Linked DNA regions of Lepisosteus oculatus. The protein of the gene in region 1 purifies or fractionates together with the protein of each later gene. This does not show direct contact. Links are inferred from orthologs where the notes say so. Each region holds a gene or a part of one and is shown on either strand. Other genes may lie near its edges. The genes, in order: lrrc41 and drg1.

Region 1 (14,676 bases):
TTCTTGAATATGTTATTGTCCTCCTCCAGCAAAGAGTGTCTGTCTGTTGTGCAGGGCACATCCACAAGGACCTGGGCAGCCACAACACAGAGTCACTACAAGGTCTCTGCCAGCTTCACAGGGAAGCACATCTTCTCTAATGACAGTGAAGGAAAGACACCATTACATTTACTTTTGCCAAAAGCAGACTTGTCGATTATGTACCACGAGATCTAAATAAGTGCTGCGTGTCATAAGGCCCCAGATCAGGGCAGTCTGATCTTATTACTCACCCTGTCAAAAGTCTCTCTCTCGAGCTCACCCCACTTCCTGCCATCGAAGGAAGTGATGCGCACCTTGTCTTCGGAGCAGTGCACCCTGGGAATGTAACTCTGCAGGACCCCTCGGAGGCGAGCAGTGCGGGACCCCGAGGCGTCGTTGGCTGCCAGACGCCCTGTGAACACACACACGACAGCACGTGTCCGTGTTTCATCACGGCTGGGCTAAAACGACACCATCAATCACTCACACTGATATATTCCCTGAAGGTTCCTTCAACGTGCATTTAGTTTCCCACATAAAGCTTACAGAAACTAATAGTTTTCTTGGTCTTTTATCTCCCGGACGTCATGTGTTGTATGAAGGAAAAATGATTACAGCAGGCCTGTGTCTGGAGCAGAGCCAGCGTCTTCCCCCCTGGCGCGGCGCACAGGTCCAGGACAGTGTGGCCCTCCTGCACGTCCAGAGCCAAAACGGGCAGCACCGAGGCCGCGTCCAGCAGGTAGTAGCCCAGGAAACCACTGCGGTCAGGCCTGAGAAAACACCACCGCAGTCATGTTCTGCACTAGACGTGCAACTGTACCTCCTTCAAAATAAAGACCGGTGTCAATCCAACCATCAAAATGCGGCATGTTTCACCTCCTCCTGTTTCACCTACGCCTTATGTAGCAGAGCTATGCCCTACAGTCTACAATAACTTTCTTTTTAAGTCTCCCTAGCGCTGACACTTTGAAGACTTCCTTTCTGATCCAGCTACATTTCTGGGGCAGTTTCGTGAGATAAGATGCAGTGAATGCCCCACGTTAGAGACAATCTCACCACTAACGGCTATCTACTGTGATCAGTGCTGGCGACACAGAGCAGGCCACTGTCACCACAAAGACAAGGCTACGGTCACAGCTGGTGCATGGTTAGAGATTTCTCACCTTGCAGGCCTGAAACGCGTGATGTCACCCTTAGGGAAAACATAGCACTTGATATTTGGACTGAGACTTGGGAATCTGCCATCCTGTAGTGATCCTGAACTCTGGGGTTCACTGTTGGATTCCGGGGCTCCAGCGCACGGAGGTCCGGCGACTACCGAGGGGTCCCGACTCGTGCCTGGCCCGTCCACACCGGGCCCTGCGGCACAGTCTCTCCTGAAAGCCTCCTGGACGAAGTCGAACGCCCCCTGCTGCTCCAGTCCCGCCACCACCTCCTGCGCCGTGGAGAAGTTGTTGACAAGAGCTCCATACTTCTGCTCCGACAGCAGGCTGGCCCGAACTGGAGGCCACTGCTCTGCAAACTGGGTGCCGTACGTCATGTCAAAGATCTGCAAGGCCAGCCTGGTGGAGGAGATCTTGGGTTGAGTGGCAGCCTGTCGGGGGAATGGAGACCCTGGACTTACAGTTCAGCACCGATTCCTATGACAATAACATGAAGCTAAGAATCATGCAGAACCAGATGCAAACACACGTAGAGGTCCTTATGTCATTGCTTACTGTCCGAATGACCTTAAAGCGTTTCCACAAGCGTGCTCTCATTCCAAATTTGAGAGCGGCACATTTGCAACGATGCTGCTTTTTAAATGTCACCCGTTTTCCCTATGACGACTATAGCCTGCTGGCGTTTATAACACAACATACGCCCATTCTAAGTCCTGAACGAACCTGGCGCGCATTCATGTACACTTTCTGTGGATTTTGATGTTTTTTTAAATAAAAAAAAATACTCAAATATATTGCATGCCGATACAAAAGCATTCCCTGTGTTACCGTTAATTATATGTACAGTATACGTGAGCTTACTTTAGGTGTAGAGTGAATTTTGATTTTGCTACAGTAGACAAACGGAAATCACTTGAGAATCAGGGATAGTAAACTAAAGAAATCGCCGGTCTTGGATGGAAATAGACATTGAGGCTTACAGTTATTTTTGACTGAGAAATCAATCAAATATATCATAGACATTAAATTAGTCATAGTAAACGACCATAGCTGTTCTGCCTAAATATTTTCGTTCTTTCGCGCAAATATCATTAAGATAGCAAGGGTATTTATCTGATTAATTCGAGTTTAGTGCGGGTCCAATTAAACCTGTCTGCGCTTCGTTTTGCTGAATTCGAAACAGAGAACACTTCCTATTTCAGCGGCATAAAACGTCCTCTGAGGATTATATTACCCATTTCTTCTTCACTCGATTTCTGCAAGGAATAAAATGAGGCAAACCCTTCAGTTTCCGAAGCAACACTCTCGTGTCTGTGAGCGCAGCCATATTGAATGTCACAGTACAAAATGCCCCGGGAAACACGATCTTCCGCAACGATCGGTCCGCCGGGTTAAAGTTGAGAGTTCCGAGCTTGGAAATTATTTTTTCTCCTCATTCACTTACTGCCTTACATATGGACACATAAAACAATATATGTCACTGAGGAGAAATGTTCAGTATACTCTGGTTAAATTCTTAATACAAGTGGTACAGTTGTAAAGGAACTCACTCCTCTATCTTATCTGCAGTGCTGGGGGTGCTTCATTCAGTGGTAGGTGAAATGTCCTTTCCTTTATATATATATATAATACTTTGGGGTCTTTTGGAACGATAAGATCTATGCAGATGCAAATCCTTTTATTATAGATGTTGCAACAGTGTAACATTTGAGAGCTCCAGAAATCTGTCAAGTTTGAGATTCAAAAGCACTGGCCACAATAAGTCTACCAATACAAGACACACGAATCACACAAGGTGGTGCATTAATAAGCTCATAAATAATGAAATGCTCCAAGGTGTAAGATGGCATCATTCTCTTAGTCTCACTTAATTGTAATCCATGGAAGATATCAGGTTTCTGTTGGGATGTTTTCAGAGACTTTTCCCCACTCTGAAAGCTTAGGCCTTTCAATGTCAGATAAAACTCCAGATAAGCAACAGGATCGATGCACACAGTAATGCAGACCAGCTAAGATATCGGTCTGTAGCGTATCACCCAAAACCTTCATCGCCACCCCTGACCACCTTTCTGTACTGGTTCAAGATGCTTTCAGGAAGGCAGGACCCATGATCTCTCAGCTCTCACTTTATCTTCTGCCACCTTCATCCCATATTGCACTGACTCAAACACAACATACGTACAAGCGAGTTCTTATTAATGCTTCCTATCCACACTGTATATTTTCTTTCACATGGTTTGGTGAGCATGTGCACTGCTCTTCCTGCTTGTATTGGCCTCGTTCTAATTTGACTCACCTTATAGTTACTGTTCCTGCTGCTCTCACTCCTAATTTCATTGTCCTGGATCTTAGTCACCCTGGGTATGCATCTTCTAAGCAAATAATATGCAGTGAGTGTCACGTACCAAAAAAAATCATTCAAAACTGACCTTCATAACACAAGTAAGCGCACAGTCAGTCCTTCAAATGTTGTCTCTCACATGTTTTAGACACAGGAAAGCAGATTCAGAAAGAATGTCATTTTATTCACATGTGGACACATACACAGTTAGCTGAGGTTTTCAAACATTTCCTGAAACTGCATGGGGAAGAAACGGACATCAGGAACTTTTCTGATCGGCGCCGTTTTCTTATTTAAATACAGACTTCACAGCTGTATGACATCTACCACAGAAACTGGAGCTTGACGCCAGAGCTGTGCCGACTTCACTTAATCATTTTGAAGGCCTTGTGCGCCACCTACAGGGTAAAAAACAAAATCTGTTATCAGTGCACAGAGCAGATCTTTTATTCAAACTTAAAATGTATTCACATTTTACCACATAAAGTTCCCCTTCCAGATATGCTGGAGAATTTTTTAGGGTTCCATAAACGATAATGTTTGATGGCAATAAAAACAGAAAATCTCTCTTTACAATCAGGTAAGTAATAGTGCGATCAGAAGACAAACAAAAAACAGCACTTCGGAGCTTATGTAACGATTATGGGTTGGTCTGAAACTGATGGGAATGTGTGTCAGGTGTTCTTTCCGATATCAGAGCTGCACGGCTCGTCCCGTTCCGAGGCCCAGCTTTCTGCGGGAATGTTTTGCTCTGATCGCTCTTATTAACGAAATCCCTGGCTGGGAAAACACCGATCAGCGCGCGGCTCGCGCTGGCGGGCGAGCGAAGCGACTCACGCAGTGGTCCCTGGCGTGCAGGAAGTCGAAGAGCTCCTCCGTGCACTCCTCCAGCGTCTGCGACCGGGAGCTGACCCGCGCCTCGCAGGCCTCCAGCTTCTCCCGCGCGTGCACGCAGTGCTCCGTCTGCTCGCACTGCTCCCGGATCGCCACCAGGGGGTCCTGCAGAGACACGGGGGGGGGGGGGGTCAGGGCGCCGAGCCTGCCGCAGAAGGAGACAGCCCCCCCCATCCCCAGAACCTGGCTGGACCAGGCTTGAGCCTCTGGCCATGACCCCCTCAGACTGTGCTGACGAACAGTCTTTTAAAGAGATAAACTGGTTTCGCAGAGACTCCAAAAAAAAGAGCTACGCGAATTGTAATGATTCTTCGGGAAAATCCCCCAAATGCACACAACTCAACATAAGAACGGTCTCAAAAGCAGAAGCCAACTACTGCTTCTGTTTCCCCCCACCCCATTTATAATAACACGCCAGCTACACCATTATACCAGCGTGTCGGCACTCCAGAGGCAGACCGAGAGGGAGAGAGCCACACAAACTGCCCCCCTGGGGGAAAGATTGTGGAAGAACTTCCGGCCATCAATCAGCGTTCACCCCTGGAGTAAGGACAAGAATGGAGGCATACTCACCACCAGTTCTTCTTCCTCCTCCTCCTCTTCCTCGACCTGTAGAGAAAGTGTTAAACAATTAAGAGAAAACAACATCTGAGATCTTCACCAACATTTTTCTTCCACACCCACAGAACACTTGCTGCAGACAGTGCAGCTCCACCTCTCAGCCCACGACTGACAAAAGGGGTGGTGATACAAGAACATGAAGTTCAGAAATGGCAGGAAGCCGAGTCCTGTTTTGACCACATTTAGACTGCTAGCAGCCCATAGACCCAAGGATCCCATCCAGCAGTTCCTTTAAAAGAAGCCGGGTATCAGTATAAACAGCACTGCTGGGTAGCCTTCTGCAGACTCCTACAACACTGAGCATAGAAGTAGCTCATGGTTTCAATAGTAAATATACATCCCTGCAGTTTTCTTATTTATTGGTGTGCTCCGCTGCTGAGAGTCAATGTCCTTCTTTTTCCCCCATTATGCTTCCTGGGAGACACTGACATAACCCAGAACTGAGCAGGGTTCTGAAGCAAGGCCGGGCCTGATGAGAACTGGGAAGGAAAGCCCAGCTTCTGCAAGCAGGCTGGGGGACCAGCAGGGGGCGCTCTTCACTGGAATGTCAAACACCAGGGGCCCAGTAATGGGGGGCAATGGGCTGTCAGAGGCGTTGGTGCAATTCAGGCCAAGTGCAACAAGACCATTTGGGATGAAAGGCGCTGTACATGTACAAGGCATTACTGAAAAAAAGCATACTTTGTTCTTTAGTCAGATGTCATTCGAAGCATGCAGTAACGTATGAGCGAATGAGCTTTCAAAGCGGATAACAAGCAGTTGGATGAGATGTGCAAAATCAGATCTATGAACACGTAATGGTACCATGAATTCAACATTAAAATTACCATCCGGAATGCAACAGTTCACACTGTACCGGTCACGAATAGACCACCCCACTGATTTTTTGTTGTTTTGCATTTAGTACAACTTTAGCTTTCAAACAGCAAGACTTTCGGACTACCGAGAAAACGATCACAGCCCTTTCTTCTCCTTCCCACTGACAAGGGATCAAACACATCAAACACAGGGAAGCCGGCGCCGCTCTGATGCTGCCAGAGACAGCGGGGCATCCTAGAGGCACTGAAAAAAAATATATTAAAAAAAGAAGAGAGGACTAGCCCCTCATTCGGCATTTGAACGCCGTTTCGTAACCAGGCCTTGCCCGAGAAGACACTGGACGCACGCACTTCACGGACAGCCTACAGAACATCTCTTCCGGTCATTTTAAACTATTTTCATTGAACCGCATCTCAGATGAGTACCTCGTCGGGCTCTCCGTTCGTAAGCATCTTCTCCTCTGTCAAAACCATGATTACTGTGGGGGGTGACAAACCGGTCTAAATCACGCTCCCTCTCCACCACAACCCGAGTGCGTCTGGAGGACCTTCAGGTCACACGCCGGAAACTACGAACAACACTACCGGAAGCTGCGATATTGCCAATAGGGCTTTTGCACAACCGGCATTCTGACGTATTTCCGCCGTCTTCCTTTCCTTGCTCATCGGGCATGAAAATGGTATCAATTTAGAATTCCAGAATTTCACGGTGTTTCACCTCAGTACTGCTCTGTAATAATTATAAGGAAACTACCGCACACTTATTTTGCCAATATGTAAAAAAAAGCCAACACGTGGCCTTTGGAAAAAGTTTCCTTTCATAAAAAGTCGATTAATTTTAAAGGTTCAAATGCGTGTTTTCACAAATCCGGGCATGTTTTCAGGTATTCCCTACTGTTTAAACACAACATGGACTGCCTGATTATACAACATCACATCCACAACAAGATCATCTTAAAAAGAGTTGTTTTATTTAAGAAGTGATATTTCTTAAATAATAAAATATGCAAAACGTGTTGGTCTGAACTCTGTAATTCGCAAGTACTGATAAAACAGTTACCGTCATCACACACATATAAACATTAAGATGAGCAATTTATTCCATAAAGTTAATTACTTACCTTAAAGTAAAACCTTATTTGCATTCAGCTCTCTCTGATCTTGTATCAGTGTATATCGTGGCCAATAAAGTGCTCATATCTTATCTATACCCCATTTATAGTTATCTATAGTTTCAAAACACAATAAAAATAAATTCACTATACGTTAAATACACCTTTACTTTAAGGTATGATGAACTGAATAATTCTGAACCATATTTACACTGCCACGAAAGTGTCGCACGCAATGGCATGGTAATTTGAGAATAATAACATCGTTTACAAACCCAAACACCCCTTTTATTTCAGATAAGCGGGGGGAGGAGTCATGTGACGTAGGCGGAAGAGGAACACGTGTTTGCTGGAGTCAGTGTGTGCAAACAGTGTTGACTTGGGAAGAGAGTGATGTACTGTACTGTAGTGCTGGTTAGAGGGGAACAGAGTATACGTGAGTTTTCTAGCTGAGGTCAGACATACAGTATGTATATATTATTATAAACGTGCCGTGCACTAATGGAGAACAAGCATGAAGCAGATGTAGCCGCGCCTCTTTTGAAAATATGTATCAAAGCTGTCAGCAAAAACATGCGCGTACTGGAAAAGCAAGTCTGGGGTAAGAAACTGTATCAAACAGAAAAGCGGAAAAAATAGATCACTTTTATTTTCTTTAAAGTACTTGTGATTGAGACACAAGGACTTAAATCTCTGGGTGACCGTTTATTGCTGATTCCGAAAACGTAGAGGCGGTCCTACAACTTGTTTTCACACGAGTTTTCCTCGATAGAAAAGTGTGAGAACTACCTGCAACTTGAGAAACGGTCTAGCTGACGCCATGACGTAATGCAAGTGATCGAAATGTGCTCAGAGTTGCGGATCCTCGGCGTTACCTTCCCGTCGTAAACTTCACTGTGTGAAGCGGCGTTCGTTCAAGTTATTACACATCTACAGAGAAGTAAATAACAAAAAGGGTAAAAGGGTAGGACTTGGTGTATTCGTCCACTTATAATTGATGCGCTTGGTTGTTTTCTGTTTCCTACTGATCGCCCCTGTGCCTTCCCCACAGACATACCGTCTTCTCTTATTGAAGAGCTGTTGCCGCACTTGAACATATTCTACCTGGAGAGGATCGAGGACGTAGCTGTTCGCAAAGGCACGTACAGACGGGGCTGCTCTGCGGGCTGGGGCACGCCGTGGAGTGCAGCTGTGCTTTATCATAGGAGTCAAGGCTGAGGAAAAACATGCCAGCACACAGCACCTTACCCAGAGCAATTGCAATGCATTCATTCTAAGAGGACCGTGCTAAACACTTCTGTAGCTACTGTATGTGTGTTGCAAGTTTGTCAGCAATTCACTGCCTTACACCCACACTTGCTAACTCTGTCCTGTCCTGGTGCATGGGAACGAGAATATTGACAGCCCATGGGAGCCGTTTTGCATGTATTTTATTTCATTTTATTCAATTTTCCTTTTCTTTCACTGTTTTCGGTGCAGCTGTGGTGTTCTCGACAGACCAGACTGGATAAATAAAGGATTATCGCAAAGCAGTCTAATCAGCGCAGGTGTCGCGAGGCATCTAAACGAAATGTTAAAAGCTGACTTTCTTTTTAGGCCTGTCCACTGCTTCTGTGTGGTTTGGACTTTGGATGGAAGTGGTCAAAATCAGGCCTCCTGGAAACAAGGTCAGACCCACTTGGAATCAATTATTTTAAGTGAATTTAGACTTTGTAAAAAGATAGATACAAAATTATACATAGGGAGCAGCGAATTATGCACTTTTCAAAAATGAAGACACATTTTCAGTGTGTTTTTGTTGTAGGAGTGCTTAAAATTTGGATAGAGACACTCTGTACTTCCATATCTGACTAATTTGAAGCAAACAAGCTTTAAAGTGACTTATAAACAGGTAGTACAGCTGCACATCCTTCTCATTTAGAGAGACATCTGTGAAGCAGCGGTTTCTGCATGCAGGTCATGTACAGCAGTCTGTACAATACACGCAGCCCCATGTAAATCCACCCCCTCTAATACAGTCTCTATATATTAATCAGTTAATTTAATTTTTTCAGCCAATTAAGGACTGGCGACAGAAATTCCTGGAGCGTCTCTTCCACATGGTCACTTTCGGTCACTTCAGTGAAGAAGAACACCCTCGTCTGCGAGACCCCCGTTTCTCCCTCCTCTCGCTGGCGGCCAAGTACGTCAGGGTCCTCATCCTCTCCAGGTCCCTGGCGCAGACGTCCCGGCTGAGCTCGGAGGAGTTCCGGCCTGTCCTGAAGACCCTGGAGGCCACCGTCACGCAGCTGAAGCTCCGGGAGATCAGACTTTCTCTCTTCCACAACGACTTCAGCCCGGTGCTCTTCGTCATCCATCGCCTCCTCCACCACGGCTCGGTCCAGACTCTGGTCATGAGTAAATGCAGCATCTCCAGCCCCAGTCTTTGGACTTGGATCCTTCGGATGAGCGCTGGTCACCAAGATATCAAGAAACAGGAGGGCAGTCAGTCGTTTTCATCTCGCACTCAGGATCTGGAAGATGAGAGGCGTTCCGATTTTGGACCAAACACATCCGGTGCTGGAACAGGCCTGTCACAGGAGGCACAGGGCTGCAACCAGGAGCACAAGAGTGCAGCCAGGAAAAGGAGACTGGTAGATGACTTGTGTGCAAAAGCCTTGAAATTACCTCGGCTTGACATCTCGGAGCCCAGGGGTGGCGCTGAGCCCGGCGGATGCAGTAGATTCGATGGAACCCCTCATTTACCACTCCGCCAGTGCGTGGACTCTGAAATCCTGGATCCTGGTTGCACTCTCTCCTCTTTTCCCTCCCTTGTCTCAGGGAAGGGAGGTTGCCCTGTCAGAAGAATCACTGCTCTGGTGCTTGACGTATGCGATGAAGTCATCTCCCGAGTTCTCTCGCCCCTTCTCTCTTCCTGGTTCTGTCTTTGCTCCCTAAAGGTGACGTGTGAATGTGAGTAGGGCAGCTCCAGCGTCAGAGCCAAGGACCGACATGTCAGTCTCCCCTGAGCAAGGCTGTCCCAGTTTTTCTAGACCGTTGGCCTTCTGTATGTATTGAAGAGGGCTCTGTCACGTACAGATGCTAACGTTTGTGGGAGGGAATAAGCTCTCGCCATATGTTTGGTTATAAACGGGGAAAAAAAGAAAAGAATGGATTTTAGGATCTTTCGGCTCTCTCAGCCTGCATCCCCATGTTGCAGTTTCTTACCCGTTTTGTGCTGCCTGCAGGGTCCATAGAGGAGCCCAGCCTCTTGGAGATGGTGGAAGCCTTGCGCCTGCTGTACCAGAACCCAGCCTGCTCCCTCTCAGTGCTGTCCATCACCAGCGTTTGCTGCAGAATATCCGTGGCAACCCTGCTGGCCCGCCTGCTTTCTGCCTGTCCTGGGCTGGAGGCTCTTACGCTTGGTTTCTATGGAGCAGAGGGGAACAGCAGCTCCTCTCACCAGCCTGCACCCATAGGTAACGTATGTCTTTCTCAGGGCCATTCGGAGCGACAGCACTGTGCTGCATCACATGAAGTACGCCCTGTCCAGCATGTCGTAATGTTTCAAAGTTAGGAATTGCGTGCCCTTCGCTAGTCAACAGAAACCAGACAGACAAAATGTAATAATCAAAATGAGCTGGTGTTCTCCAACAAGCCTAATGTTTCTGGTTGAAAATTCGTAGTTGGGATAGAAAATAACTAGCATACTTAAAAAAAAAATAATTTTAAATTGAGAGGCAAACACACGAGCCACGTATGTTTACTGTACGGGGCCTGCTGAATATTTTGAAGACTATTTAAACCGAGGGCAAATTCACTCAAACCACGAAACCGACACTGGATTATGGCCTTTGTTCCCCAGTGAGCTCTGTAAAGACTCTGCAGGTGGAGTTCCCAGTCGAGCCTGTGCACCTTCAGGGCTTCGTGACCGTGCTCCAGGGGGCGCAGAGCCTGACCAGCCTCCACCTGAAAGGGCTCCGCTGCAAGACCCCCCAGCTCAGCGCACTGCTGCTAGCTCTGCCAGGTACCAACAGCCTCTGGTCCTCTGTCGCCCTGCTGCTCTGAATGAAACATGGCCATTAGACACCGCCCTGCAGGGGGAAAGAGGTTCTGGGGTTAAATTACTCGTGCAGTTCCAGGACCTGGAGTATTCACAACTTCAACCCCTTCAGTGTTGGCATGTCACCGTCCCTTGTTGTTCGATTGAGTATCCCAACCCTGCAGCTGCCTATATAACGCAGATAGGAGACTGAACGGAAAACTGTCCTGTTTGTGTGTGGTAGGGTCAAACCCCCGCCTGCTGACCCTGTCCCTGGAGGAACTCTGCCTCTCGGGCTGTCAGGATGAAGTGCTTCACCTCCTGAACAGGTCTGCTCTGCAAGGTAACGTTCCCTCGGTCGGCGACAAGTGAAGAAAACTTCCTGTACGACTGTGGATTTGAGCTCACCACCTCTGTGTACGGACAGTGTCAAAATGTTATTTGCCGTAGCTCTCCCCTCAACAATTTCCCACAAGCACTTTATTTAACGATACAGTCAACAATATTGACGCACGCTGAAGGTTTCGTTACCCACATTTTTAATTTTGCCCTTTTTTTTCCCCCGATGGACTTCTTTCATGCTGACATTGGTGCTCATGTTCATAAACAGTCATTTATGGGTTTTTTGTTCAAAGTCTTGCTGAATACGTTTACCATTTAAAAAATATCCCGACATGATGTTTCTTTAGTAATTACAGCTGAGGTCTTTGAGGAAACTGAGGCATTGATGGGCCATAGCAAAAAAAAACAATCGTAATTTCTGACGTCAGCCGTCAGTGATTCATTTTTTCCCATTTTAGAGGTACGCTTCACGGACTGCCGCCTGTTTGAAAGGAACAAAGAGGAGTTCCTGGGCCGCTTCGTCGACACAGTAAAGGCACAGACATCCCTCAGATCAATTTCTGTGTCAAAAAACCGCCTGGGTGAGCTTTGGAATAGTTTTTCCATTTCGCTGAAGCTGATACCCTGTCTTCTTTCAAGGAAACTTTTGGATGAGATCCCTGGATCAATAACTACCACATAAGCTAAATGGCTCGACAGCCTCCTTTCGTTTGTGACTGTTCTCAGGTTCTTTTCCCTTCCAGACTGAGGTTCTCCTGTTGCACATTTTAATCCTTTTCTGTTTGATTTTTTTTTTTCCAAACAGGTAATCAGGGCCTGATAGCCTTTGCTGACCTGTTTTCTGAAAATTCTCTGGGCAGAATTCAGCACTTAAACGTCAGGTAATTATATTATTCCAGCCCTGGTCCTGGAGGAACTGTGTGTCTGCTGGTTTTCATTCTAGCTGAGCTCTAAATCTGCAGTGCTGTCGATGATTTTAATTGATCTGCTGGCTTTTTTCAGTTTTTAATTTAGTTTGCTTCTTCGGTCAGTACTGACTATCGATAATACCTTACACCAGCACACAGAAATGTACACGGCCCCAGTTGATCCATTGACGAAAAACAGACACAGGTGGGAGTGATGATGCATGTGACACCCATAGTAGGAATGAGACAGTCACAATGAGCATTTTTTCCTACTGCAGAGATTCCGTTTGGTTACATTTCAGGCAACCCATTTCAGGGCAGTTCTGAAACTCAGAAAATGGTACAGGGTTGATACTTATCACTAATCCCATTTTACCTTTAAAGAACTGAATTTCCATACTTGTACGGTATAAACACACCAAAACTGAAATCAGTAATTTATATACTGTATATTTAAAACAAACTTGCTAAACAGGATTATTGTAGAGCTCTGCAACAGATGCTCTAACTTTGACAGTGCTGGCGAATGTCAAGGAGCTGCGTGAATTCCTGTTTTATTTGCACAGCTCTAACTACATCCTGCCCGACGGGCTGCTGGAGTTTGGGAGGTTGCTGGGAAGACACCCCCCCTCGCCTCATCTGAAGCTTGATGTGCGAGAGAACCCCCTGGACAGAGACCCCCAGAAAACCGAGCGTGCTATGCGGCAGCTGCAGGCACTGTGCCACGTGACCAAAGACTGCTGGAACTCCAGGACCACCTTCGCAGACCACATCAGTGTCATGTGACCAGAGCAAGCTGGGCGGGCGTTTTTATACCCACTAATTCACATTACCATTTGAGATCTTGGGAAGTGCTCGTTTCTGAACCTAACAACCCCAACAGAAATGTCAGACGTGCTCTTCAGTTGACCGTTTGGAAGACTCTTCCCTTTCGAATCTCATTATACGCACAACACCGCGGCGCTTACAGTTCTGATTTTTATTACGGTGCCATTGCGGGACACAAACTATTTACACCACAGAGTTGAAGCTTTAAAAAAAAAAGGGGGGGGATGGGGGTAGGGGCATTTCCTTTTTGCCCTCAAAAAAGAAACATTTTAAGTCCAAATGAGATGCCTCTGTCTTTAAATTAAAAATAAAGGTGTCGGAGTTCCCATCTTCCCGTTCTGCTTTCAAAGTGTAAGGATAACGCGGATCCAAGTCCAAAGCGTGAGTGGTCCTTCCCGGGGAGAGGACTGTCGGAGAGAGCAGCACCTGCCGGCAGATGGAAGATGTGCTCTGCTCCGGTTCGTCCCGCTGAAGGCCGAGCCAGCCTGTCACAGCAGCCCTCTCTGGTCCTCGTGGGACCGCTGGTGGAAGACGAAGGAGACGCCCGCGTCCCAGGACGCCTGCAGCACCGGGTCCCTCAAGCCCCTCCTGTCCGAGCCGTGGTGCCACTGGGACAGGTCGCTGGTGCAGTCGGCGTCGTCGGGGGGGGCGCGGACCTGCCGCCCGTTCACACAGCGCCGGCAGCGGAACCTAGGGCACATCAGGTTAGGTCACACTGTACGTGTCCCAAGAACAAAGTTCGACCCCACACGCCCAGTCATTGCAATATCGACAAGGTGATCGCTTTTACGTGGGGGCCAAGTTAGAAACCAGTGGATGCAAACACCCGCGCGGTTACCCATACAAGTTAACCCTGTTGAAAAACCGAAAGCCTCTCATTTTTAAAATAATGAAGCAATTCAGACGCTGTGGACTTTACATATAAATGTCATTCTAATGTTTCTTTATTAGCCCTATACAATTTCTTGCATTAGGAATCCCTCTTTTCGCATACCCCAGCTTTTCTCCATGGAGACACAGACACACAGACAGGGAGAGAAGCTGGGGGTCAGAGCGCAGGGTCTGCCATTGTACGGCACCCCTGGAGCAGTCAGGGTTAAGGGCCTTGCTCAGGGGCCCAACGGAGTAGGATTCCTCTGCCGGCCGCGGGATTTGAACCGGCAACCTTCCAGTCACAGGCGCAGATCCTGAGCCACTGAGCCACCGCTCCGCCCATACCTACACAACTGGGGAACTTACCCGTCGCCTTGACTAAAAAAAAAAAAAAAAAGTTGAACCCTTGACCATTCCTGGCGTGGTCTCGGAGGCGGGCGGGTACCTGCTGTGCGTGTCGCTGGCCGTGTCCTCGCGCAGGCAGAAGAGCTCGCGCAGCTCCTCCAGGGAGAAGTGGCGCTCCACGTCCTGCTCCTCGTCCACCACGCAGCTGCTCAGGGCCTTCTTGTGGGCCTGGCGCTGGAGGATCTTCTCCTCGATCGTCCCCGTCTGCGCAGACACACACCCCAACGTCAGCGCTGTTCTCGGTGGCTCTACCAGCCGAGAACGCACCGGCGCCGTTTTGCCAGCGAGGACATGATCACAGAAGGAAGGTGGGCCGAACTGACCGTGGC
Region 2 (15,555 bases), on another chromosome or scaffold:
CACCTGAGCTATTCACACTGCTCTGTGTACCTGGTCTTATACTGCACACCTGAGCTATTCACACTGCTCTGTGTACCTGGTCTTATACCGCACACCTGAGCTATTCACACTGCTCTGTGTACCTGGTCTTATACTGTACACCTGAGCTATTCACACTGATCTGTGTACCTGGTCTTATACCACACACCTGAGCTATTCACACTGCTCTGTGTACCTGCTCTTATACCGCACACCTGAGCTATTCACACTGCTCTGTGTACCTGGTCTTATACTGCACACCTGAGCTATTCACACTGCTCTGTGTACCTGGTCTTATATTGCACACCTGAGCTATTCACATTGCATTGTGTCCTGACACTTATACTGCACACCAGAGCTATTCACACTGCTCTGTGTACTTGGTCTTATACTGCACACCTGAGCTATTCACACTGCTCTGTGTACCTGGTCTTATACTCCACACATGAGCTTTTCACACTGCTCTGTGTACCTGGTCTTATATTGCACACCTGAGCCATTCACATTGCATTGTGTCCTGACACTTATACTACATGTTCTGCACACCAGCTGTGAATTGCAAAGAGACAGTAAACTGAGAGCTGAGGGCACAAGGATACTTGGGAGTATTATTTGCCTTTTCTCCCTCTGTAGGGCAGGAAGTGCACTGTGCCTTTAAGGACTCTCAGTGGTACAAGCTGCCCTGCTCTAAACAGAGCGGTCACCATGGTAACTATCACATGCTGCCCTTTTATCTGCTCCGCCCTACCCCCCCCCCCCACTTCTGTCCCACTCACCCCTGCCTCCTCCTCCTCCTCCCTCACTCTCCATGTCAACACATATAACCCCTTCCTCCCAGAGCCGGAGTCTCTCCTGCGACCCCCCCACACCGCGCCAGAACGCAGGTCTTTATTCCCTCCACAAGAGCAGAAGGCTGTGGGCCACCTCACTGATCTTCAGCTGCACCAATTAATTAATTACAGCTTCCGGCAGAGGAGACTTCCTGGGGCGGATCAGCTGGAAGGATCGAGGTGTTCTAGTACAACAGTGCAGAGAACTGGTCCACAGAGCCGAAAGTCCAGCCCGGGCTTTTGTTACATCCACGCCAGGCAGGTATACAGGATCATAGGGTTTTTATATAGCGCCTTTCAAAGCAAACACCTCACACCGTCTCTCCTCCTCCTACTATAGAGATAAAGTTATAACGGAAATCTACGAACATGTTTAAAAGACTCCAATCCTTCTTCTCTGTGCTGCAGAAGATACAGGTTTACAATCCTAGCTCCCCAATGAGCAGCCGGTCGGCAGTGATGGGGCAGCATCTGCGTCAGGCCCTGCGTGACCCACAGTGCTACCGCGCTGTCCCTCCGGTTGTGTCGGACGCCACCTGCGCAGCCAGGTATGGCCGCGCGGAGCGTGTGAGCGCGCACGTGTGCCTGGAACCGGCGAGCACTGCAGCCCACCCCCCCCGGCCCCCCCCGCCAGCCGGGGTGATGTCAGCGTGTCTTAATGGACAGCCAGCGGGACACACCCACGCTGCACTGCAACTGCACTGAAATGGTTCCAGACACACAACCCTTAACCACCACTCCCCCCCCCTGCTGTAAAAGCACCTACACACACGGATACTCCACCCCCCAGCTCTGGCCTCTGCACACTACCTCCCTCCCCTGTTCCCCCTCCCCTCTCCTAGCAACATGCAGAAACTGTCCAGCCCCCACCGCCACACACACACAGTTACACCCTCCCTGCGGCTCTGACTCTGGCCTCTCCCTCCCGTCTCACCCCCCCCACAACAACAACAACAGCGTCCCTCCCCCCCACCCCTCCACCCCTCCTTTTCCTCCTGCAATCCACTCAGCCTTGGAAACCATTTTGTGTCCCTGCAGAATTACAGCGGCTCTGGGCTCACAGACCCCCCCCCCCAGCACACACAGACGCGGGCCCTCCGGCTCTGCGCGAGCTCCCCAGGACAAGTCAGCGACGGCCAGCTCGAGTTTCTGTCACAGCCAGCCTGCAGACGCGCTCTCCCTGTAACCTTGTGCTGAGCCCAGGCTCTGCAGCAGCTTGACCGGAGAGCTCGTGTGCTCAGAGTACAGCCTGTGCCTGACATGTACACTCCAGTCTAGGGCAATAAGCACTGCCTGGGGAAACTACCCCTGTACCGCGTTGAAACTGCCCCAACCGAACCAGATCCAACCCAAAGCTGGGGAGACCCAGTCTTTGTCCATCTGCACATTTGTGGGGTCCCCTCAGTTTATGACTGCACGTCTGCACAGCTGTGGGGACCCTGTGTCTGTCTGTCTGTCCGTCTACACAGCTGTGGGGACCCTGTGTCTGTCTGTCCGTCCGTCTACACAGCTGTGGGGACCCTGTGTCTGTCTGTCCGTCCGTCTACACAGCTGTGGGGACCCTGTGTCTGTCTGTCCGTCCGTCTACACAGCTGTGGGGACCCTGTGTCTGTCTGTCCGTCTACACAGCTGTGGGGACCCTGTGTCTGTCTGTCCGTCCGTCTACACAGCTGTGGGGACCCTGTGTCTGTCTGTCCATCCGTCTACACAGCTGTGGGGACCCTGTGTCTGTCTGTCCATCCGTCTACACAGCTGTGGGGACCCTGTGTCTGTCTGTCCGTCTACACAGCTGTGGGGACCCTGTGTCTGTCTGTCCGTCCGTCTACACAGCTGTGGGGACCCTGTGTCTGTCTGTCTGTCCGTCTACACAGCTGTGGGGACCCTGTGTCTGTCCGTCCATCTACACAGCTGTGGGGACCCTGTGTCTGTCCGTCCATCTACACAGCTGTGGGGACCCTGTGTCTGTCTTTCTGTCTGTCCGTCTGTCTGTGTCTGTCCACACAGCTGGGGGGCCCTGTGTCTGTCTTTCTGTCTGTCCATCTGCACAGCTGGGGGACCCTGTGTCTGTCCGTCCGTCTACACAGCTGTGGGGACCCTGTGTCTGTCCGTCCGTCTACACAGCTGTGGGGACCCTGTGTCTGTCCGTCCGTCTACACAGTTGTGGGGACCCTGTGTCTGTCTTTCTGTCTGTCCGTCTGTCTGTGTCTGTCCACACAGCTGGGGGGCCCTGTGTCTGTTTTTCTGTCTGTCCGTCTGCACAGCTGGGGGACCCTGTGTCTGTCCGTCTGCACAGCTGGGGGACCCTGTGTCTGTCCGTCCGTCCGTCTGTCTGTCTGTGTCTGTCCATCTACACAGCTGGGGGACCCTGTGTCTGTCTGTGCCTGTCCACACAGCTCTCTGGGAAAGGAGCTACATACCTGGAACTGCTACTTCCTGACTCTCTATGAGCGATTCGTAACAGCAGTATAACACATTAACAACTGAAACTCAGGTAGAGTGTTCTTTTTCACTGGATTAATTCCGCTACCTCTTTTCCTCTTTGAGAAGTTACGTCTAAAGCTGCTAAATAAAATAAAGTAAATAGAGAATATAGTTTATTATTGTATCATTATTAACGGAAGTCCTGCAGAAGCAACATTTCCAAAAGTTTCCCATTTCTAAGGAGGAGCTGCTGCAGACGCCCCTCAGACAGCGGGAGGGGGACGCGGCTCGATGACCCGCGGGAAGGAGGGCGCAGCTGGCAGGGCGTGTCCGCGCTCACCTGGCACTTGTGCGGCCTCTCAGACGTGTGCACCTGCTTGATGTGCCCGTTCAGGTGGTCCGGCCTAAACAGAGAGTCGGACACAGGAGCACAGGGTTACAGGCGCCTCCCCTCGTCCGCTGGACAGCTCCGCCGCTCTTCCCCACACCAGGCCAGGACCCCGGCCCCCCCTTCCCCAAACCGGACCTGACGCCCGGGATCCATCCCCGTTCCCCAAACCAGACCGGGACCCGGGATCCCCATTCCCCGAGTGGGCCTGGGACACAGCCGGGCGGAGACGCTCCAGGAAGGGCAAAGCAGCAACACTTCCGAAGCGAACGAGATCCGGGGGGTCCCCGTTCTGGAACTGGGGCAACGGCAGCCCTGGTTCCGAGTGGATCAGACCCCCCCCCCCCCGCTCCAGGAAAATAATCGTTGGGGTTAACTGTGCAGGGGAGGTCAGGGAGGGAACTCCGGGCCTCGCTCTTGAGAGGACCGGGCCCCTTGGCGTCACCCACACGGAACGAAGGCAGGAGCCCCACTCCGGGGCACCCCCCTCTCGCCGGCCTCGGCACAGCCAGCAGCCACCCTGACACGAGACCCAACCCGGACCCTCTCGACAGAGCGGCGCAACCCCCCGAAACCCCCAGCCCGGGTGAGAAGGGCAGGACCTTCCACCCGGCTCCCAGCTCCCAGGAACCCACCCCCCGGGCATCACTGACCGCCCGAACCACGAGCCCGCGCGGGCGCACCGGGCCGGGCCTCAGCTGCAGCAGCGGGGCTCCGTGGCGCCGCCCCTCTGGGGTGTGCAGGGGTGGACCCCTGTCCCCAGCCCGGAGGAGTCCCGCCCGGCGCTCCCCTTGCGGGGCAGGAGCCCGACGCGCCCCCCCTGCGGGGCGGCCCCCCCCGGACTCACCTGGAGAAGCCCTTGCCGCAGCTCTGGCAGACGTAGGGCTTGCCGACGGAGCCGTCGTGCGAGCGCACGTGGTAGGACATGCGGTCCTTGCGCTTGAAGCGCAGGCCGCACACGGGGCAGGCGTAGGGCTTCTCCCCGGAGTGGGACAGCTTGTGCCGGTTCAGGTGGTACACGTCCCGGAACACCTTCCCGCAGACGTCGCAGCCCACGTGGCGCCGGGTCCGCTCCCGCTTGCGGGCCGAGTCCGCCGGGCCGGCGCCGTGCAGCCCCAGCCCGTTCTCCAGCAGGCCGGCCGGGGGCGGGGCCGCCAGGCCGGGGGCGCCCCCTCCCGCCGCCCCCCCCGCCGGGGCGCCCCCGTGCTGCGCCTCGTGCTGCCGGAGCCGCGCGGCGTCCGTGAAGATCTTCCCGCACAGCCCGCAGGGGAAGATGCCCAGGTCCTTGGGCACGCCGGCGCCGCCGAAGAGCAGGGGGTCCATCGCCGGCACCTTCTTGGGGCGCCCCCGGCCCCGCTTGCCCCCCACCCCGGGCTGGGCGCCGCCCCCGCCCTGGAAGGGGTTCCCGGCCAGCTCGGGGCCGCCCACGGGCAGCCGGTCCACCGTCTGCAGGGAGGGCATGACCTGCTGGCCGCCCGCTCGGCCGCCCCCGTCCACCTCGTGCGCCGGCCCGCCGCCCCCGAACACCGAGCCGTTGGCCACCAGCCCCGCGCCGTTGGACATGTCCAGGGGGTAGCCCAGCTCGGGCCCGCCGGTCCGGAAGAGCGCCAGGTCGCCGCGGGCCGGCGGCACCAGGATCTGCACGTTGGACTGCTTGATGACCTCCTGGCAGATCTCGATCACCGAGCGCATGAGCAGGAACTTGGCGGCCGTCATGAGCTCGGGGAAGCACTCCAGCCGCACCACGATCTTGGACGTGTAGGCGAAGTCCAGGATGTCTTTGAAAACTTTGGGGCTGATCGTGTGCATCTCCAACTCCTTCGTCTCCCCGTCCCCTTCCGCCTGACAGCTGAACACCGACTCGAAGTACTCGCTGCACGCCGCCAGCACCGCTTTGTGCGCGGGGAAGCTCTCCTCGCCGACCCGCAGCAGAACGTCGCAGAAGCGGCCTCCGGTGCGGCGCTGCACGTTGAGGTTGTGGAGCATCTCGGCGCTGTGCTTGCTCACCTGATACGTGTACGACGAGCTCCACGGCTGCTCCGCTATCCTGTCCATGTTGCCTTCATTCAAGAGCGACGTATCTCGGCGCTTCGAGGGGGGAAACGCAGGAGCAGAAGTGGGAAATTTAAAAGAAAGAGAGGAGGAAAACAAACCGACCCAACTCGCGGAGAAATCCGGCGAATTTCTCTTTTTAAAAACACACGGCACACGCACCCTCCGACACCTTAGCCCTGCTCGCGTCTCTTTTGCATCTAAAAAAAAAATGTTTGCAGGGAGGAAAAAATGGCAGCCCCCCAGCTTCCTGTGAACTTTGACCTTTGTTTCGGGGGGGGCGGACCAGCCGGGAGGGGGGTAGGGGCACTCGGAAAGCGCTGTGTTTTCCGCGCACCAGCCGGGGGGGTTGAGAGAGGGGGGCGAGGCGGCGCGGGTCGGACTCTCCGGTAGCCAGCGCCTGGACACGGCCGCCGGCTCCGGGCTCGTCTCTCCCCTCCATCCCGGCCTCCGTCTCCTCCCCCCTCCCCCGCGCGATTCCCAGGCCTGTTTTTCCAGCGCGGATGCCCCCTCCCACAGAGGCAGCGCGACACACAGCTCGGAGCGCCGCCGGGATTGCGAGCTCGCAGGGATTCGGCTCCTCCGAGTGACCCGCTAGTAATAACAATAATAACAGTAATAATGATGATAATAGAGACGGGGGTGTGAAATAGTTGGCGAATAAAAGCCGTTTCTACGGTTAACGCTCTCAGCCAAATGCACCGCCGATGCAGAGAATAGAAACTGGATTTTAGGGACCAGAGGGGCTGTTGTTTTTAAAGACCCCGCTCCAGCCCGACCGCGGGGCTGCGCGCGTTTCGGACTCCACTCATCCAGATATCATAAATCCGACCCCCCTCCCGCTTTCCCCCCGTGTCAGGGGGAGTTGGGGGGTAGCAGGTCCCACAGCCGCCCACGGGGCAGCACCGACGCAGGCGGACGCGGGATCCGCAGGTGTGGGCGCTGGGGGGGGGAGGAGCGGTGCATTGTGGGGTGTGGGTGGGTGGGTGTGTGAGTGTGGGGGGGGTAACTCGTAAGTGTACATTCTAGCTTTTTACCGTTTAGCTGTCAGCCGGGGTTCTCGAGTTACAGCAGGGCAGGGAAGCCTCTGTGCTCATTAACTCTTTCGCACTTGTGTGTGTGTGTGTGTGAGCCCTGCAGACGCCACAACAGCCCCCTGCCCCAGGGGGTGTACGAGCACCCCCTGCCCCTGGGGTAAACAACAGCCCCCTACCCCTCTAGGGTGTACAAGAGCCCCCTGCCCCCTGGGGGTGTACTTGAGCCCCTCGCCCCCTGGGGCAAAAGCGATCCCCCTGCCCCCTGGGGGTGTACATGAGCCCCCTGCTCTCTGGGGCAAAAGAGAGCCCCCAGACCCCAGGAATTTACCTGCACTGGTGTGCTTGTCTACCTCTTGGGACGGGTGCCTTATATACCCCTGGGGGCAAGAAAACATTCACTAACGTTGCGGACCAGAGGAAACAACACAGCAGCGGAATAAGAGCAGAAAGTGTCTCTAAATTACAGGTAAATCCAAACATTCCCACGGCACCTTCCAAACATCACACGTGTGAAAGGTCAGTGAACAGAAAAGAGAATATATTGGGGCGGAGCAGTGGCTCTGTGGCTCAGGATCTGCGCCTGTGGCTGGGAGGTTGCCGGTTCAAATCCCGCAGCCAGCAGAGGAATCCTACTCCGTTGGGCCCCTGAGCAAGGCCCTTCACCCCAGCTGCTCCAGGGGCGCCGTATAAACGGCTGAACCTGCACTCTGACCCCCAGCTTCTCTCCCTGCCTGTCTGTCTCATGGAGAGCGAGCTGGGGTCTGTGAAAAGACAAATTCCTAATGCAAGAAATTATAAAGGGTTAGTAAAGTGATATTATTATTATTATAATAGACAGTCCATCCGAGCGAGAAGTTCAAGGAGAGACGGAAAGTGGCGAGCGAGTCAGTCTGATGGGAGAGTTCAACACACAGCAGATGTGTGGGGCAGCAGCTGGCAGGAGACTGCTCTGGCACCACTGCTGAAACGCTCCTATTGCCTTCTGCTCGCCTTGCACGTGGAATCAGCTGTTAATCTCCCAATTATTCCCCTCCTCCCTCGTTTCGGCGCCGAGCTGGGACCGCCACTCCAGGGACACGCTCCGCAGGCTGCAGAGGTGCTGATGGGGTCCGCAGAGCACCCCAGAATCCCCCCCTCCCTCTGCTGGCTCCCCGGGAGGGATTCGTCTTCCCAAAGTCTGAGCCACCGGCCAGTGGGAAGATCCCGGCGTGCTCCGCAAGCCGGCTTGGCTTCCCCATCGGATCCGAGTCGGATCGCACACAGCTGCAGGAGCAGTGAGGACTTGGGGTTTGGCCGGTAGGGAGATGTTGTGGACATGTGGACACACATGCACACAGATACACACAAGCACACACACGCACATACAGGCACACAGACACACACACGAGCACACACACGCACATACATGCACACAGACACACACACATGCACATACGTGCATGAACACACACGCACACAGTCTGACACATGCACACAGACACACACACAATCACACACATGCACACACACATACTGTACGCACGCAGGCACACACAATCACATGCACACACGTGCATGCAGACATACACACAGATACACACACAATTACACTCATGCACATAAATGCACACACAATCACACTCACTCATACACACACATACATGATCAGTTCTTGCACCTCCGAAGGTCCGTAACTGGTGACTTTCAGCAGGGAACTAGTTATGAAGTCAATTCAGCATGAAGTAAAAGCCTAACCTTTGTAGGTCTCAGTAACAGGGCCTTCACAAGCCTGTGAGCTGGGTGACATTCTCAGACCAGTTAGCCCCTACGTGAGAGCACACGTAGGGGGCTGGAGTTGTGCACTGTGAGGCACTGTCGCTCTTAGAGTCCGCAGACATTTCCCCCACGGAGCTGGGGGGGGTGCTGCAGTACCTCCTCCGCACCGCCAGGGGCGCCCTGTTCCCCCAGCGCCGCTGCTGCTCGCTGCGTGGCCGTGGTTTCTCGCGAGAGGCGCTCGCCGTGCCGGAGCCGGGCGTCTGTGTGTGTGAGAGAGAGGAGAGAGGAGCGTGGGGGGCTTGACAGAGGACCGAGCGGCTACCGAGTCTTCACCCTTCGTTATACGCGAGAACTGCGGCAGCGGCGCACCGGCGGGGAGGAAGAAGTTGGTGTCGGACCCACAGCCGCCATGAGTTTGCTGGCGAAGATCGCCGAGATCGAGGCCGAGGTGCGTGTGGACGCTGCAGGGCTCGGAGCAGTGCTGGCGGCCGTCTGATTTGAATGATTCCTGATGTCCTCCGGGTGGGGTCTGTCCCGGCGGGCCGGGGCGTAACGGCTTTCGAACACGGGTCCTGGTCCAAGCCCGGTTCGGAACCGGAACCGCCGAGCGAGCGGGACAGAGGGGTTCTCGCGGCGTCCGAACTCTGTTCTCGGACCCGTGCGTCTGCATCGGGGGGCCTGGACCCCCGGCGGCCTCGCGGCTGGAGAGCTCGGGTCTGGACGGCGGAACCGGAGCCCGAGTGACACACGCAGGCAGGGCAGGGCGACCACACAGGGCGCCGGGCCGGAGGGTGCTCAGCGCTACTGTCTCCTCTCACTGCGACTTGTATTGTTGCTGGTGTCGTTCTGTAAAACGCTTTGAGAAGTCACCTTTAAAGGCGCTGTATAGAATAGTTTATTATTATTACCTTTTGGGTCTGAGAATCTCATCCAGCTGCTTATTCCAGAGCAGCCTGCAGCATGGAGTGTGGAGCAGGCAGCCCAGCAGGACCCTGTGATCGGTGTTGAAACGGGACTGAGAATGTGTGTTCTCCCCTCTTCCCTCTCCTCTCTCCTCCTCTCCCCTTTCCCCCTCCTCTCCCCTTTCCCCCTCTCCTTTCTCCCTCTCTCCCTCTCTCCTCCTCTCTCTCCTCTCCCCTCTCCTCCTCTCCCCTCCTCTCTCCTCTCCTCCTCTCCCCCTCTCCTCTCTCCCCTCCTCTCTCCTCTCCTCCCCTCTCCTCCTCTCTCCCCTCCTCTCCCCTCTCCCCCTCTCTCCTCTCCTCCCCTCTCCTCCTCTCCCCTCCTCTCTCCTCTCCTCCCCTCTCCTCCTCTCTCCCCTCCTCTCCCCTCTCCCCCTCTCTCCCCTCCTCTCCCCCTCTCTCCTCTCCTCCCCTCTCCTCCTCTCTCCCCCTCTCTCCTCTCTCCCCCTCTCTCCCCTCCTCTCCCCTCTCCCCCTCTCTCCCCTCCTCTCCCCTCTCCCCCTCTCTCCTCTCCCCTCCTCTCTCCCCTCCTCTCCCCTCTCCTCCTCTCCTCTCTCCCCTCTCCAGATGGCTCGGACTCAGAAGAACAAGGCGACGGCTCACCACCTGGGCCTCCTCAAGGCGCGCCTGGCCAAGCTGCGGCGCGAGCTCATCACGCCCAAGGGTGGCAGCGGCGGGGGGACGGGAGAAGGTGAGGGCGCTGGGGGTCAGTCCTGGTTGATTCCACGCTGGGTCACAGGGAGGAGCTGGCCGCCCGGACCTGCGCCAGGCGTGGTGCTGGTGGTGCGCCCGGTCCCGCCGCCGCCCCGGCTCACCCGCTCCCGGTGTCGTTGGCAGGGTTCGACGTGGCGAAGACGGGCGACGCGCGGATCGGCTTCGTGGGCTTCCCCTCGGTGGGCAAGTCCACGCTGCTCAGCAACCTGGCGGGCGTGTACTCTGAGGTGGCCGCCTACGAGTTCACCACCCTCACCACGGTGCCGGGGGTCGTCCGCTACAAGGGCGCCAAGATCCAGGTGGGGCGCGGGCGCCGGCCGCCGGGAGGGAGGGGCGGGACGGGGGACGGGGGACGGGGGCGCCCCGATTGTGACCTCCGTGTGCCTCTGTGCTGCAGCTGCTGGACCTGCCGGGCATCATCGAGGGCGCCAAGGATGGCAAGGGCAGAGGCCGGCAGGTGATCGCAGGTGAGAGGAGACGCCCGCAGCAGGACCAGCTGAGGTCCGCGGTCAGGACCTGTGACCCGGGTCCTCAGCGGCGCTGCTGGAGTGAAAACGACGCCTTACTGTCACTTCATGCACGGAGTGCATCATCAGCCATATCACCTTGCAGCTCCCAGCTGGCAGCCCCACTGAAGCCCAGCAGGGTGAGCCTGGTCAGTACCTGGAGGGGAGACTCCTGGGAAAGCTGAGGCTGCTGCTGGAAGAGGTGTTAGTGGGGTCAGCAGGGGGCGCTCACCCTGCGGTCTGTGTGGGTCCTGATGCCCCAGTATGGTGACGGGGACACTGTACTGTAAGAAAGGTGCCAACCTTTGGATGAGACTTAAAAGCGAGGTCCTGACTCTCTGTGGTCATTAAAAATCCCAGGGTGGTTCTTGAAAAGAGTAGGGGTGTAACCCTGGTGTCCTGGCCAAATTTCCCCCTGGCCTTTACAGTCATGTCCTCCTAATAACCCCCATCTCTGAACTGGCTTCATCAGTCTGCTCTCGTCCCCACTGAGAGCTGGTGTGTGGGGAGTGTACTGGCGCATCACCCAGTTGGGCCTGCACACTGGTGGTGGTAGTGGGATTTCTCAATACCTGTAAAGAGCTTTGAATGGAGTGTCCAGAAAGGTGCTACATAAGTGTAAGGAATTATAATTATTATATTATTACTTCTGTGATGTTGGAGGTGTTGTGTCTCAGTGGACAAGCGGACACAATGACTCGCCTGAGTGCGATCCAGTCTCAGGACACAATCAGTGTGGTGCCACAGCTGGCTGGCCCGGAAAAACAATGGCTGCTCTTTGAGTGTGCTCTATCATTTCAGTCCACAGCGTCAGAATGTGGAGCTCAAAGCAGCTTGTGGCTGACAAAGACTCAGAGGGCTGCATTTGGGGTTACTGCCGAGGAGCTGAAGGACCTCTGTAGCTCCACACACAGTTAGGACCAAGAGAACGATAAAACACTTCAGCTCAGTCGGCGTTTTGGTCTTTGTTGAATAACTCTTGAGAGATGAGAACCGTTTCAGAAGGAAATAGGATCAAGCGTACAGACGAACAGACTTGGGAGTCTGGTCAGGCTTGAGCAGAGTTGTTGAGTTGGTTAGCTGAGTGTTGCCGAGAGCACGAGAGAGCTGACGGCCCTGCACTCTTAACCCTGGCCGCCCTCCTTCCCCCAGTGGCTCGAACGTGCAACCTGATCCTGATCGTGCTGGACGTGCTGAAGCCGCTGGGACACAAGAAGCTGATCGAGCACGAGCTGGAGGGCTTCGGCATCCGGCTCAACAAGAAGCCGCCCAACATCGGCTTCAAGAAGAAGGACAAGGGTGGCATCAACCTCACTGCCACGGTAATTCTGGGAAGAGGGAGGGTCAGTGTGTCCTGTCTCACTGCCACGGTACAGGGCAGGGGCAGGAATTCTGGGAAGAGGGAGGGTCAGTGTGTCCTGTCTCACTGCCACGGCACGGGGCGCGGGGCAGGAATTCTGGGAAGAGGGAGGGTCAGTGCGTCCTGTCTCACTGCCACGGTACGGGGCGCGGGGGCAACCACTGCAGGAATTCTGGGAAGAGGGAGGGCGGCGAATCCTGTTTCATCACCAGGAGACAGGGCGTGGAGTTGACCCACTGGTACAGTGGGAATTCTGGGAAGAGGGAGGGAGGGTGGGTGCGTCCTGTCTCACTGTCAGGAGATGGGGTACTATGGGTGAGGGGGAGACCAGGAGCTCAGCAGTGAGTCAGACTGGGTGTGTTGAGTGTGGAGGGTTCGATAATGTTCTTTTTTTATAACCCCGACAAAACATAGCTATAACAGCACTAATTTGAAGTCTCTTCTGAGATGTGATTCTCCTGCCTTTGCCTGGAGTTCTATAGTTGTCATTTCTTCAACACAGCAGAGCTCATATCTACGCACTCCTCCCCTTTCTCTCAGTGTACACAGAGTGAGCTGGACGCAGACACGGTGAAGAGCATCCTGGCAGAGTACAAAATCCACAACGCCGATGTCACCCTGCGCGGCGATGTCACCGCCGATGACCTCATCGACGTGGTGGAGGGAAACCGGTATGAGCTGGACTCCTGGGGGTGGTCTGCGTGGTCCCAGAGTTAGCAGTCACACCTGGTCTGGTAGAGTACAGGTCTCCCAGTGAACATGAACTCCTGCACCACCTGAACTCCTAATGACTCCACCAATCGGTTGCTGGTTTAATTCAAGGGCACCGCCAGTCCACCCAGGTGTAGATTTCTCACCTTGTCTGTCGATATGAAAGACAAACACGCTGATCTCATGTTCTCTGTGTGTGTTTCTCCCCTTCCAAGAGTGTACATCCCCTGTATTTATGTGCTGAATAAAATCGACCAGATCTCGATCGAGGAGCTGGACATCATCTACAAGGTGCCCCACTGTGTCCCCATCTCGGCCCACCACCGCTGGAACTTCGACGATCTCCTGGAGAGGATCTGGGAGTACCTCCAGCTGGTCCGGATGTGAGTCAGGGCGGGGAGGCCCGTGGAGAAGCCGAACTCCGGCTGTTCTGTGGCGCGGAGGTGCTGTATGGTAGCGGGGCTTCTGTGATGCTTCCTGGCTGTCCCGGAGGATCGTCCAGGCAGTGACAGCACATCCGCACGGCCGCACGAGCTCGATCGCGCCCAGAATCGCCGGGCAGTCGGAAGGGTGCCCCTTGGGTGACTCCCGCCTGGAATCCGGGGCTGTTTCCAGCCCGGCCGCAGCAGGGGTCAGGCGAGGTTGTTCGGAGTGGCTGCCACTCACCCTGACGATGGGCGATGGCAAGTGTCTCGTTCACTCCACTGACAGCAATAGGGGATGAAGTGGGGAAACTGCGGAGGAGCGCGCAGAGGTTAATCCTGACCGTGACTGACCAGTAGAAGGAAAATGAAGCCTTGTGTGTGGAGCGGCACACCTGAGGGAGACCCCGCAAGGGGGAAACACTGCTCCTTTTCTTTCTGCTTTTCAGCACGGAATCATCCTCACCTTAGAACAGCCGTTCTGCCGAGAGCCCTTTGTGCTGGAACTGTGCCCGTTCCCCGTCGCTGTGAAAACTGCACATCCTTGCTACCCACTCGTGTACAGAGCAGGAGCACAGACAGGGGTGCTGCTCAGTTACAGATAGGCCGGGGAGAACAGCGTTGTTGCTGCCTGTGTCCTGGGGGCTCGTCTACGCGCCGGTCGGGGTCTGGGCTGGAGGAACACGTGGGGGGGTAGCGTGTTCTCCTGGGAGGGTCTGGGCGAGGCCCCGCGTGCTGCACCGCTCAGAGCGGCCTTGCTTTTGAGAGCTGTTTTTTTTTTTTCCCTGCTTTAACCCTCGACGTACGGTACCCCTCGGCCGCAGCGAGGTATCTCATGCCCCCCCCTCCCGCTCTGTGTCCTCAGCTACACCAAGCCGAAGGGTCAGCTGCCGGACTACACTGCTCCTGTCGTGCTGCCGGACGACCGGACCTCTGTGGAGGACTTCTGCCTGAAAATCCACAAGAACCTCATCAAGGAATTCAAATAGTGAGTCCTCCCGGTCCGGGTTCGAAGCCGGGGAAGGTCGAAGGCCCCTCGGCCCGTCCGGCTAGTCGTTAACCGATCCCAGGGTCCCATCCGTCCGTTTTCTGGGAAGAAGCCGGAGTATATCGGCTTCAGCAACGTGGCTGCTCTGTCTGCGCGACGTTCCCGGTGAGGGACCGGCCCGGCGTGTTCCAGATGGGGGAAGACGGGGGCTGGTCACGAGGCCAGAGGATATGGACTCCAGAGCTGCAGGGATCCTGTGCTCTTGGGGGTCCGCTTAGAGCCCGGAAGTGGGATGAGTCAGTCATCTGCCCTCTGTTTTCCCAATCTTGAACCCTGGTGGACCTGCGGGTGTCCAGATGTCCAGGACTGGGCTCGGCCTCTCTGGACTGAAGAGACCGGTGAGCTCTGCAGGGTCCTGTGTGTTCAGCACTGGCCTGCAGTAGGAGGGGTGTGACACCCCAGGCTTCAGCAATAGCTCAGTTCAGTACCTGGGGTCTGGACCTGAGTCGACACCACAAGGCCCTGGAGCGGGGCGGCAGGGTGCTGCAGGGGTCAGCATTGGGTAGGGCTGGGCGATATGGCCAAAAACATTCTCACGGTAAATATTTTCGTATCAGTCGATATCGATAATTATCGCGATAAATGTCAAATCATTATTTCTTTCAAGTTTAAAGGCAGATTTTTTCTCCTGAGTGAAAGTTGAAGAAACCAGACAGTTAATTGGTAAATTAAACAACTCTTTATTTTAAGAACAAAACAAACTTGCCAAACAGCAGAAACATTAAATCTGTCAGCTGCCCGGTCTGCAACACGCACTCGCCCTCGTGCAGTATTTTGTGCGCATGCGCATATCATGCGCAAAGCATTAACATATATATCGAACATTTATCAAACTTTTGTTAAAATTATATCGAGGAAAATTATATCGCGATAATTATCGCCCAGCTCTAGCCCCTGGGCTGGATTGTCTTGGTGGAGTTTGCATGTTCTCCCTGTGTCCGTGTGGGTTTCCCCCAGGTGCTTTGCTTTACTCCCAAAAGACGTGCTGATTGGTTAATTGGCTTCTGTTAATTGTGAAGATTGGCCCTGGACTGTGTGTGCCCTGTGATAGACTCATCTCCTGGCCCGTTGCTTGCTGGGATAGGCTCCGGCTCCCTCACCACCCTGAATTGGAAGAAGAGGGTTAGAAGAGGGACGGATGGACCCGGAGCTCTGCAGTGCTTTCTGCTGCCTTTAACACCCCCTGTTTCATCTCCGCAGCGCCCTGGTCTGGGGCTCCTCTGTGAAGCACAACCCTCAGAAGGTGGGCAAGGACCACGTGATGGAGGACGAGGATGTGATTCAGATCGTCAAGAAGTAAAGGGGCGCCCCGCCCCCCACCCCCCCCACAAATT

What was found.
Region 2: the proteins of lrrc41 (region 1) and drg1 purify together in Homo sapiens (affinity purification with mass spectrometry; 3 studies listed by BioGRID and IntAct, counting the BioPlex papers as one, with this or other methods). This does not show direct contact. The link is inferred for Lepisosteus oculatus from reciprocal best matches to the Homo sapiens genes LRRC41 and DRG1.

The regions. Positions count from the first base shown.
Region 1 is NC_090704.1:3,307,643-3,322,318, reverse strand, and holds the start of lrrc41 (leucine-rich repeat-containing protein 41), read left to right. Parts: upstream 1-7,265; 5' UTR 7,266-7,471; coding exon 7,472-7,571; intron 7,572-8,021; coding exon 8,022-8,108; intron 8,109-8,566; coding exon 8,567-8,637; intron 8,638-9,024; coding exon 9,025-9,922; intron 9,923-10,197; coding exon 10,198-10,428; intron 10,429-10,814; coding exon 10,815-10,976; intron 10,977-11,235; coding exon 11,236-11,334; intron 11,335-11,791; coding exon 11,792-11,914; intron 11,915-12,138; coding exon 12,139-12,214; intron 12,215-12,807; coding exon 12,808-13,027; 3' UTR 13,028-13,557; coding exon of another isoform or gene 13,558-13,759; 3' UTR 13,760-14,387; coding exon of another isoform or gene 14,388-14,551; 3' UTR 14,552-14,676. Other genes in the region: 5-methylcytosine rRNA methyltransferase NSUN4, read right to left, coding at 1-71, 273-433, 637-791, 1,185-1,615, 2,419-2,511; uqcrh (cytochrome b-c1 complex subunit 6, mitochondrial), read right to left, coding at 3,891-3,923, 4,363-4,524, 4,993-5,028, 6,285-6,332; rad54l (DNA repair and recombination protein RAD54-like), read right to left, coding at 13,558-13,759, 14,388-14,551. UniProt on the Homo sapiens protein: Probable substrate recognition component of an ECS (Elongin BC-CUL2/5-SOCS-box protein) E3 ubiquitin ligase complex which mediates the ubiquitination and subsequent proteasomal degradation of target proteins.
Region 2 is NC_090717.1:729,841-745,395, reverse strand, and holds the start of drg1 (developmentally-regulated GTP-binding protein 1), read left to right. Parts: upstream 1-8,688; 5' UTR 8,689-8,910; coding exon 8,911-8,949; intron 8,950-10,027; coding exon 10,028-10,151; intron 10,152-10,297; coding exon 10,298-10,473; intron 10,474-10,571; coding exon 10,572-10,641; intron 10,642-11,832; coding exon 11,833-12,002; intron 12,003-12,580; coding exon 12,581-12,711; intron 12,712-12,966; coding exon 12,967-13,134; intron 13,135-14,038; coding exon 14,039-14,161; intron 14,162-15,421; coding exon 15,422-15,521; 3' UTR 15,522-15,555. Other genes in the region: patz1 (POZ-, AT hook-, and zinc finger-containing protein 1), read right to left, coding at 3,610-3,673, 4,505-5,712. UniProt on the Homo sapiens protein: Catalyzes the conversion of GTP to GDP through hydrolysis of the gamma-phosphate bond in GTP. Appears to have an intrinsic GTPase activity that is stimulated by ZC3H15/DFRP1 binding likely by increasing the affinity for the potassium ions.